3 linked regions of the Ovis aries genome follow. The protein of the gene in region 3 purifies or fractionates together with the protein of the main gene of each other region. This does not show direct contact. Links are inferred from orthologs where the notes say so. Each region holds a gene or a part of one and is shown on either strand. Other genes may lie near its edges.

Region 1 (3,652 bases), on a different chromosome or scaffold from region 3:
AAACATATAGAGGGTGAGAAGGCAACTTTCCTAGTCAGCATCCTCTGTAGAAGAGTATGAAATAATGCTTTTAAATTAAAAAGGAAGAGAAAGATCTTAATTTCTTAACAATTAATACACTGTAATATCTATTAACCATTAATAGATTATTATATGCACATAATGCTTTTCTCTTTTTAAAAAGTTTTTATATCTTCCTCATTGAAGAGTTAGTGAACCTCTGGATTATCAATGTATAAGAAAAGGCAGATTCTGAAGGAAGAAGGAATGAATCTCACTTTTCTGCTCATCAACTTAGCAGCAGATGCAAGATTCTCTCCTGTGGCAGAGCACAGCACAATCTGCATTCTAGGCTGTTAGAGCTTTAATTTCAACCAAGATATTAGACCCTTCCCTCTGTCCTCCCATGTCCCCAAATCACAAAATAAGGATTGCAGAAACACTTGCTCACTCTTGATTTTAGGTGACTGTACCTTGGTAACTGGATCAAAAGTATAGCTGCCTTGTGTTGGTGTCAGGTTCATATTCAACACAACTTTCGGCATGTGAACGGTCACCGTGATTGCTTCAATAGTTTTCCCCATATTCTGCTTTGGTCCAATTGTAATATCAAATCTACCACAAGAACTGTTCTCCTTAAAACTGATGCTGTGTTTCACATATACTGGTATTGCCACTAGACTAAAAAGAGAAAGACAGACACAACCACAAAAAACATACAATTAATAGTGTGAGCTCTGGAGGTGGCACAAAAACCCTAGTATAGAATATCCAATACCCGCAGAACCGCAGGTTCAGTATCTGAGCCAGGGCAGTTGAGTACAGCGGTGTTGTGGAACCACTGTGCCAGAAATTATACAATTTCTGAGCAGTAAGTATACAAATCAAGATAAAATTATAGCATCAATAATTGGCACAAACAGTCCTGGTTTCAAGAAATGAATTAAGATCCCAGAGAAAGATAATTTCGAATTACACAAACTAAATATATCAGTTTCTCTGTGATAAGAGCCAAGAAAAAATTCCTCTGCTTTTAAGTTCTGTTTTGATGTTGTCCAAATACTTTCTGATGTTTTCAAGGGACAAACCAGCTACAACCCAGGATGCTAAATCATTCATTTAAACCTCAGTGCAGAGAAGAGTGACTTCAAGCCAGTTAGTTGAGGGATGTCCTGGAGAACTACAGGTAAGTCTGTCTCCTTCTATCAGCCATAATGTCCACAGATCATAGTAAAATTATGGCATGGGTTCATGGTTTCGTCCAGGTTATGCATGGTCCCAAGTGCTTGCTCTAAGGTATATATTTACTATTACTCTATACTCTTAAGATTCAAAGTATACTAATTATATTTTCCGCATATATTTTCACCAGTTTGTTCTGGGTCTCCTGGTGAGCAATGGCTAAAGGGAGCAATGGTGAATTCAAGTAACCAACTGTTAGAATGAAACAGGGAAAAAGTGAGTTCTACACAGCACACTGATAGATGACAGGAGATTATGGTTGATACAACAACATACTTCTGTGAGCTGACACGGTATGATATGAGTCGGAAGTTTCCATCTGGAGGAATAAACGACAGAACTCTTTCAGATTCCCAACGCTTGAACCGAATGCAGGGGTGGAAGCTGACATCATCTAGAAGCCTTGGATTCTGCCATGGAAAAGAGAAGACAAGCATATTCATAAAGTAAAACGAATATGGCAACTCTAGTCAGATATATTATGAGATCTGAGAAATATGCTTCCTTAAGATAAAGCAGTCATGTAAGTTTATTCAGGCTTATCGTTTCACAATGCTTTCAAGTGTACAAATATTTTATATACATTATTATTTGAATTTCAATAATTCAATTCCAGTAATTCCCATGAGGTAGAAAATGTGAGTGGTTTCATTTCCACTTCATAGATGAAAAAACTGAGGTTCAAAGAAAGCTCAAGGCCAGGACAAGTTAGAGGCACAGACAGCATCAGGGCTCAGTTCTCTTAGCAGTTCTCAGTAGTGTAGTATGCCGAATCTAAAATGATGAAAAGATCAATGCCTTTTCATACCAACAGAGCATATAACAACTCAGTAAAAGCAGCACTACATATCCGCAGCAGCCAGCCAGCCATTTAAGCTACTTCTAACATACTCAGAGGCAAAGCCTCTCCACAGCCTATCCATAAAGGCAGTGCTCATCATGTAAGCTACTGTCTTTGGAAGCTGTGCTAGGAATACTTCTTACATAATCCAATGTGATCTGAAAGAAGCATGTATCAGTATTTATCATTTCATTTAGTACTTCATATATATTAGGCACGAAGGAGTTACAAAACAGAGCAAAACTTACCATGAAAGAGAGGGAAAGGTCAGGCATTCCAGAGAGCTTAATGCAAGCATCGATGACCCCCTGAATTTCTGCAAAGACTGTAGATCCTAAAGGAATAATAAAGGTATCACTGGAATATGCATGCATTCTAGTAAAGTAGCTCTACCCTACTAGAGCTATCACTATATCTGAAGTAATGGAGATATCTCCCAGGTGTCAGACATACTGAAGCTTTGTACATCTATTAAAAGGTTAGTGGACAGAGGATCCATTACACCAGTTTAGACAACTTCTTTACTGAGTGCCAAGGCTGTTCCTGTCTCCGGTTGGAACAGGATGATTCTAAGGAAAATCAAACCCATCCTTATCTTTATAGAGTCAGCCTTGTAAGACTGCTGGATGTGAAGTTAAAATACTTTTTTTCCACTGACTTTTAAAATTAAAAAAAAAAAAAACTATTCAATTTTTAAAGGTTACTTTCCATTTATAGTTATTACAAAACATTGGCTATATTCCCTGTGTTTTACAGTGTACTTGTGAGCCTGTCTTACCCCCAGCTGTTTGTACCTCCCATTCTCCCACCCCTTTACTGCCCCACTCCACACTGGTAAACACTAATCTGTCCTCTGTATCTGTGAGTCTGCTTTTTTTTTGTTAAATTCATTTGTTTGTTGTATTTTTTAGATTCCACATATAAGTGATATATAGTATTTATCTTTCTTTATCTGGCTTATTTCATTTAGCATAATGTTCTTCAAGTTCATCCATGTTGTGCAAATGGCAAAATTTCATTCATTTTTATGCTGAGTAATTTTCCATTGTGTACATATATACATCTTCTTTATCCATTTATCTGTTGATGAATACTTAAGCTGCTTCCACATCTTGGCAACTGTAAATAATGTTTGTTTGAACATTTTTTTTTTTGAAGTTCAAATATTTTAAATAAAATTAGCCAAGTTTCTAATGAAATGTTAAAAAGTAGGAACCATAATTCTTTAACAGTACAGCAACTATTCCATACAATGGAATTTTTATAATAAAAATGCAACTCACTGTAGAGATAATTGTCTGTAATTCACAGTAAGTCATTTTCACATACCAACTAGTGGTGTGACCTTTAACAGGTTATTTAACTCTTCTAAGTCTCAGTTTCCCCATACATAACATGTGAGAGTTGGACTAGATATCTTTAGTAAAATATTACGATTCTAATACAGTACTGTTCTTCAGTCTGGGGTCTTTACTAGAAGGACTGCACACAAAGTGGTTGTAAAAAGTATGGTGCACAGTAGACATACACTACATATCAGGCTGGATAAATGGCAAGATAAATGAATAC
Region 2 (4,135 bases), about 4.6 Mb from region 3:
GCTCAGTTTGACTCTTTGCGACCCCATAGATGGCAGCCCACCAGGCTCCCCCGTCCCTGGGATTCTCTAGGCAAGAACACTGAAGTGGGTTGCCATTTCCTTCTCCAATGCATGAAAGTGAAAAGTGAAAGTGAAGTTGCTCAGTCGTGTCCGACTCTTCGCGACCCCATGAACTGCAGCCTACCAGGCTCCTCCGTCCATGGGATTTTCCAGGCAAAAGTATTGGAGTGGGGTGCCATTGCCTCCTCCCGAGAATACTGGAGTGCATAGGTATTCCCTTCTCCAGGTGAACTTCCGGTCCCAGGGATGGAACCCAGGTCTCGCGTGTTGCAGGGGGATTCTTTACCTTCTGAACCACGAGGGAAGCCCTGTGTTTCACTAGTCCCCTTACAGTTTCTAACTTCCAGGCTCTAGGTTTCGGAGCTTGCCTAAACCGGAAGCAGTGGAAATAGTGCGCAGCATGCTCTGAAATCCACCCGAAATATCAGGTGTGAGGGGGGCAAGTTACTCCTGAAAAAGTTTCTCACGTGCTACTCTGGAGCCAGGCAACTTTCTGCCTGACTCCCCTTAAAACTTTAGTAAGTGCTACCACAAGAAGAACAAAAAGAGGTGCCCAGATAATGGGCTACTTCTGGTGTTCGGGACAGCTCTATTTTTTTGTTTTTAAACGCCAGTAGGAAGCACGCCGTTAGCTCCTTGGAACCAATGGCCCCAGGATTTTCCTTTGAAACTACAATGATCCCATCTTGGCGGTGGCAGATCCCAGAAAGACAGGGTTTTAGAAACTTCCTTAAAACTCAGAGCTCTGCATAAAGATTGCCTGGGGCAGAAGTAACAGCAAGACTCAGCAGGCTGGAGGGAAAGCATTAGAAACCAGCCTAAACAGGAAAAGCAGTCCTAATTAAGTTTAGCAAAGTTGATCTGGTGTGTTAAATGGTGTTTCAGGAGAAATCTGAAAACTTCTGGTTTACAACAAGAATCCAAAAAAAGAGGTGTCCGGCCCGGGGAATCTCCTAAGGGACCAAAATGGATACGTGGGTATCTGTCTCCAAAAAAAACCCCCACCTCTAAAAAGAGCTTAGTCTTTAGCCCGCTGAGGGCCTGCCTAGCGCAGAGGCTGGGTTCGAGCCGCTCGGCTACCTCAAAAGCCCGGAGGCGGGAACTCCAGTCCGGCCCGGGAGTGGCCGGGGGGTGGGCTCTGGCCGCACGCACACTGGGCATGCGCAGGGGGTGGCCCGCCGGGTCGGCTTGGGAGCCGTGACGAGTCCGGAAGCGCCTGCGCGCGCCCCTCTGCACGAGAACTAGTTTTGTTTCCAGTCGCTGGGACCGGAGCCCGTCAGAGAGAACCCCGGGCAGGACCAGCTCGACACCCGGCGACCCCGCGGCGATGTCCAGCAACAGCTTCGCTTACAATGAGCAGTCGGGAGGAGGGGAGGCGACGGAGCTGGGTCAGGAGGCGACCTCAACCATTTCCCCCTCCGGCGCCTTCGGCCTTTTTAGCAGCGATATGAAGAAGTGAGGAGAAAGGTTTGGGGTGTGGGGACGGGACTGAGGGGCTGGGGCTCCCGGGACAGGGGCAGGGTCGCCCTGAGACCGTCCGGGAGCGGAGCGGGCGTTTCCTGCCGCGCTATCGCTTGGGAGTGGTGGGAGTTGTTGGGAGTGTGGGTTGAGTGTGTGGAGGGGTTCTCTAGGAGTTTTCAGACTTTAGTGAAAAAGAACCATTGGGACCGCTTAGGTGCCATCCCCAAAGACCCCGACTGGTCTGGGGCCCAGGAGTCTGAATTTTGAGCAAACACTTCAAGCTAGTTTAAAGTTTGCTTGATGCCACCTGGAGAAATTCTCTCTCTAGGGTGGAAGGATTCAAGTTTGGGGAGCTGAGAGGGAAAGTTAGATTGTGTCTTATGGGAACCTGTTCTGTGACTCTTGAGTGTAGAAGCAAGGAGGTGTTTTAGGCGCTTTATGAATGAACAAGCTGGTTTATTCAGGCACCAGTGTTCCCGGAAAATGTCTTTTGCATTACAGACCAAAAAAGAAAAAACAAAACCCCCCACCAAAAGTATAAGACAACCCCCAAACCAAAAAACAAAGCTAGGAAACAGTAAGAAGCGTATGAGGAGAATATTTAGAGTGTGGGCAAGTGGCACAATTTTGCAAATAATGTGGATTTTAAAAATGAACCCTAAATAATGTATACGTGTGTGTGTTTTTAAAGTTATTACGAGTATTTTAAGTACCACCGAAAAAGGGAAAGAAAACACCCCGCTCATTGTTTTTTGTGTGTGTGGTGAGGGAGAGAGAGTGATTTTAAACTTACAGAATTCTGGTAACTTTGCATTTTTTGGTAATAATTTTTACATTTTTTCTTATTTTTGATCTCTCAGTACTTAGTGAACATAATAGGCTAACACTAGATTTATGCTGAACTTAAGGTAAAGTAGCTATGCTGGTGGCCTTGCGGTGTCAGAAAGATAAATTAAAATTCATTTTATTTAATTAAATAATTTATTTGATTAAAATTTAATGTAATTAAAAAATTATTTTAAAAGGCATTCTGGAAATTGCTAGTAGTTGAAGTTGAGGTTACATTTTGACTGTATTAAGCTAACTGAAACCTGTGTGGAGTGTGTGGAATAGAGTTTTTTGTTTATTTCCTTATTCTCAGGTTAGCAAAGTTTATAAGTAATGTAACTTCAGTAATTTTTCATTTTTCCTTCTATGCATTTAGATGATGGATTATTCCAACAAGAAGCTTGTTGCAGTTCTGTTGTTCTATTAGCAGAAATTTCAACTGTTAAATTAATGTTTAAGTCTGTAGAGTCTGTTTTACATGTGATATGCTTACAGTTGATCTACTTTTATGGATTGTGAACTTCTAAGGTGTTTTCCTCTTAGAGCCTTTCATTTCCTATTTTGTCAGATTTGGGTCTAATATTGAAAAAAATGTGTGGTTTTGACTGTGACCAGTGTTACTGAGGTGACTGAGCATGTTGGAGTTGAAATGAAAATAGCTGACTTTGAGTACTTCTGCACACTACTTTACATTGATTATCTCATTTGGTCCTCCTGACCATTTGGTCTGGCTGAGTGAGTATGACTTACGGAAAATTATTCTGTAACTTTGAGGTGCCACAGAGGATATAGAGCAACCCAAAAATACTTTGATTCCACTTTGCAGATGAGAAAATTGGAGCACAAATGGTTAATTTGCCTAAGATAACAGAACTAGAACACTGAGCTGCCTGAGTTTGAGCTCACAGTCTCATCTCAGAGCCCATTCTCTTGAGTATTTGGATATGCTGCTTGACAACGTTTATTGTACCTTGGTCTTCCCTTGTATTGCAGTTAGTAAAGAATCTGCCTGCAATGTAGGAGACCTGGGTTTGATTCCTGGGTGGGGAAGATCCCCTGGAGAAGGAAATAATTATATCTTATTAGAGAATGCAATCAAATCATTAAAACTTTACTAGTCGTAGAGAGTGTATGACCTTGAGGCTTTCAGGAATTAGAAACATTTTGGCCATTGAATTGCAAACTAGTGCAGTTGTACAGAAACAGGGACCTGTGTTCTGGAAGTGGTCACTTAACCTCTCTTGAGCTTACATTCTCTCATTTATAAAAATGTGATATTTCTTGCCTTTTTAAAAAACCCAAATGACAAAATTTATGTAAAAAACTTCAAGCTTACCCTAATCCTGTACTCTGATTTTTTTAATCAAAGTATAATTGACATCAACATGTTAATTTCAGATATACACCATAATGTTCAGTAGATTTTTTTATGTATTGAGAAATTATCACCACAGCAAGTCTGGTTAACATCTGTCACCATACTTACAGTTTGGTTCCCCCCTCCCCTCGAATGAGGACTTTGAAGATTCGCTTTTAGTGATTTTCAAATATGTAATACAATATTATTAACTGTAGTTACCATGGTGTACATTATATCCTCCTGACTTATTTGCTTTATAGCTGGAACTTTGTGCCTTGGACTTTCTTCACCCATTTCTCCCACAACCTCTGGTCTCATTTTTGATGATTTACTTTGAATGATTTTGAGTTTGCAAAAAAGTTGCAAGAATAATAGAGAACTACTCTTGATGTAGGCTCAGTTTTTAAAAAATCACTACATTGCTTT
Region 3 (3,652 bases):
TAAGGAAGAATAATTTCTAGAATTTTTCAGAATTGGAGTATGAAGTGTCCAAGTTTCCAAAATGAAACATTAGTAAATAATGATAAGATATTTTAAAAATCATGAATATATTTGCATGAAATCCTAAAAGAATGAAAATTGAATAGCTTAATTCTATATTTAACTTTTTAAAAGCTTTTGTTTAAAAAAAAAAAAACCTGTAAGGTACTGTGCTACAGTACCTTTCATGAATTTGTTTAATCCTTACGATGACTCTGTGAGGCACCTGTACTGTTCTGCCTCTGTTTCGCAGATAACAATCAGAGAGGTCAGGTAACTGCTGAAGGGAGTGCAGCTAATAAGCTGCAGAGTCAGCATTCACACCCATCTAATTCCACAGTCTCCAGTCTCCATGCTGCCACGTCATTTTAAAATTGCATATTGTAGCACAGTATACTGCTCTTTGACACCCACTTCAGCTCTGAATTGGTGATTTTTGATTCAGTAAATTCCTTTTGATAAAACACCTGGGTTATAGTTTTTCTCCCCAATGGAAAATGATATTTTTGTCATTGTAATGTTTTTGATAATGAAAAATCTGAGTAATTAGATATGTAGAGAGAGCTTTGGGGTAAAAGTATTATTAAAGGTAAAAGTCGCTCACTCTTTCCAACTCTTTGTGACCCCATGGACTGTATATTCTCCTAGGCAGAATACTGAAGTGGGTAGCCTGTTGCTTCTCCAAGGGATCTTCCCAACCCAGAGATCAAACCCAGGTCTCCTGCATTGCAGGAGAATTCTTTACCAGTTAAACTACAAGGGAAGCCCAAGAATACTGGAGTGGGTAGCTTATCCCTTCTCCAGCAGATTTTCCCGACCCAGGAATCAAACTAGGGTCTCCTGCATTGCAGGTGGATTCTTTATCAACTGAGCCCAAAAGTATTATTAAAGTACCTATAATATAAAGAAAGCACCACTTCCTATAATATAACAAAAGCGTCACTTCCCAGGTGGCGCTATGCTATGCTAGAAAGAAAAGTAAGTGAAGTCGCCCAGTCATGTCAGACCCTTTGTGACCCCGTGGACCTACCAGGCTCCTCCATCCGTGGGATTTTCCAGGCAGGAGTACTGGAGTGGGTTGCCATTTCCTTCTCCAGGGGATCTTCCTGACCCAGGGAGTGAAGGTGAAGGTGAAGGTGAAGTCGCTCAGTCATGTCCGACTCTTTGCGACCCCGTGGACTGTAACCTACTAGGCTTCTCCGTCCATGGGATTCTCCAGACAAGAATACTGGAGTGGATTGCCATTTCCTTCTCCAGGGGATCTTCCCGACCCAGGGATCGGACCTGGGTCTCCCGCATTGGAGGCAGACACTTTAACCTCTGAGCCATCAGGGAAGCAAAACCGGGGTCTTTTGCATAGCAAGCAGACTCTTTACCATCTGAGCCACCAGGAACTCAAAAAGGCCTTGTTGCCTCCCGTCGGGAATCAAATCCCAGTCTCCCATATGACAGGCGGAAATACTCAGCACTCTACTAACAAGGATGCTAAGTCATTTCAGTCTTGTCCGACTCTGTGCACCCCTTTGGACTGTAGCACGCCAGGCTCCTCTGTCCATGGGATTCTCCAGGCAAGGATACTGGAGTGGGTTGCCATGCCCTTCTCCAGAGGAATCTTCCCAATATGGGGATCAAACCTGCGCCACTTGTATCTCCTGCACTGGCAGGCAGGTTCTTTCTCACTAACGCCAAAGAGTCTGCCTGCCAGTGCAGGGGATAGGAGAGACAGCAGTTTGATACCTGGATCTGGAAGATCCCCTGGAGAAAGAAATGGCACTCCACTCCAGTATTCTTGCCTGGAAAATTCCGTGGACAGAGGAGCCTGGTGGGCTACAGTCCATGAGATTGCAAAGAGTCAGACATGACTGAGCAAATGAGCACAATATGAAAAAAAAATTACTTCATTTTAAATCCAGAGCTAGTAGTAAAGCCACATAGCCTTATTAAGTACCTTGAGCATAAAACAGCTTAATAATTATTGATGAAGAGTCTGGTATAAAAGGCCCTAATAGGTCATTTTTTTTAGCTTTAATTTGGATACTATAATCATGGTAGCTAATGTTTATAGATTATTTATTTTGGGGGTGCTTCCAAGGTGGTTGACCTCACTTAATCTTCTCAGCCCTCTAGGAAGGAGATATTATTATTATCATCCCTGTTCTACAGCTCATTAAACTAAGATTTAAAGAGGTTTGTATAATTACCTAAGGCTTCACAGCAGTGACATAAGTGTATTATGAACTCTCACTCCAAATTATTTTTATTTTACAGCTCATAAAACAAGACACAGCAGTATTTGAAAGAAAAATTACTGGAATCACGAAACATAGTTTTCCTTATGGATGTGTATTATATTTTCCTTTAGGTTCACAATATTCTTGCAGAAATGGTGATGGGGGGAATGGTATTGGAGACCAACATGAATGAGATTGTTACACAAATTGATGCACAAAATAAACTGGAGAAGTCTGAGGTAAGAATGGCAAGTGCTCTAGTTAATGAAGGGAGGAAGCATGATCATAAATTATGCATGGTTTGCGGCTTTCACCGTCTGTCCTTCAGTATCACCCTTTAGTACAGTTGGTAGGCTTATTCGGTTTTGAAAATAAATGGAATATACACATTTTAGTATGTTAAATGTTCTGTGACCACTATCCACCAAATAGTTTTGTGTATTCTTTTAGCCACAGTCATAATTGCTTTGAGTAATAAATAAAATTCCCAATTCTTATTGCTTAAAAAAGAAGTTATTTACTTGAATAGTGGAATCAGTATTTGTTACATTCTTAGTCATTAATTATCCAAGAAATCTTAGAACTGGTTTTCAAAGATACATGAATTTAATGTTTTATAAAACTATTTCTGAAAAAGGAAGGGAGAGAAAATGGAACTCTCATAAGGAAGTAATATCAATAATAGGTGCTTAGTAGGCCTGAATGCACATTGAAAAAAAAGACATTCAGCACTCTAATCTTTTATTTCTGGATCCTTGTCAAAGGTCACGGACACGTTAGCTAAATCATATATACTTCATACAGTGGCCCATGTCTTCATGGCTTTTGTTGGATTCTAGAAGAGCAAGATTTGGTGATAAACAGCTGACTTTGTGCTGTTAGGCTGAGTGAATGAGGACCAACCAGCACTTTAGCCTTGTGTAAAACTCTACTTTATAATTGCATGCTTCTTCCCTCAATAACAAGGCTGAATATCAATAACAAAGCTGAATATAACGGGTGCTGAAGCTGAACCACTCATGTGGGCATTATTTTAGTGGTTTCTTATTGCTGTAGAAGAAATTTAGAAAGATGAATAGTCTTGATACCTCATTTAACACTATACATGTTTGAGGATACCCTTACCTTTGATATGTATAGTCATAACTCAGAGTAGGAAACTAATTTTATTTATAATTATTAGTACAGGTGTTTGGATAATCTAAAGTAAATATTACTATAAAAGCAGAGAGATATTAAAAATATGCTAGTATTGATTTATAACAGGTGAGTTGTGAAGAATTTTTATCTTGTTGGCTCTTTAAAGGATCAGCATAACAAAATGCTGTGCTCATTGTAATTAAATGAAATACAGGATGGTGGATAAATCGGAAATCTGAGGG

The links.
Region 1: the proteins of AP3S1 (region 3) and AP3M1 purify together in Homo sapiens (co-immunoprecipitation; 4 studies listed by BioGRID and IntAct, counting the BioPlex papers as one, with this or other methods). This does not show direct contact. The link is inferred for Ovis aries from reciprocal best matches to the Homo sapiens genes AP3S1 and AP3M1.
Region 2: the proteins of AP3S1 (region 3) and AP3B1 fractionate together in Homo sapiens (co-fractionation; 5 studies listed by BioGRID and IntAct, counting the BioPlex papers as one, with this or other methods). This does not show direct contact. The link is inferred for Ovis aries from reciprocal best matches to the Homo sapiens genes AP3S1 and AP3B1.

What each region holds. Positions count from the first base shown.
Region 1 is NC_056078.1:29,212,067-29,215,718, forward strand, and holds part of AP3M1 (AP-3 complex subunit mu-1), read right to left. Parts: intron 2,418-3,652; coding exon 2,332-2,417; intron 1,653-2,331; coding exon 1,519-1,652; intron 682-1,518; coding exon 474-681; intron 1-473. UniProt on the Homo sapiens protein: Part of the AP-3 complex, an adaptor-related complex which is not clathrin-associated. The complex is associated with the Golgi region as well as more peripheral structures.
Region 2 is NC_056060.1:9,383,694-9,387,828, reverse strand, and holds the start of AP3B1 (AP-3 complex subunit beta-1), read left to right. Parts: upstream 1-1,240; 5' UTR 1,241-1,387; coding exon 1,388-1,515; intron 1,516-4,135. UniProt on the Homo sapiens protein: Subunit of non-clathrin- and clathrin-associated adaptor protein complex 3 (AP-3) that plays a role in protein sorting in the late-Golgi/trans-Golgi network (TGN) and/or endosomes.
Region 3 is NC_056060.1:4,758,350-4,762,001, forward strand, and holds part of AP3S1 (AP-3 complex subunit sigma-1), read left to right. Parts: intron 1-2,401; coding exon 2,402-2,509; intron 2,510-3,652. UniProt on the Homo sapiens protein: Part of the AP-3 complex, an adaptor-related complex which is not clathrin-associated. The complex is associated with the Golgi region as well as more peripheral structures.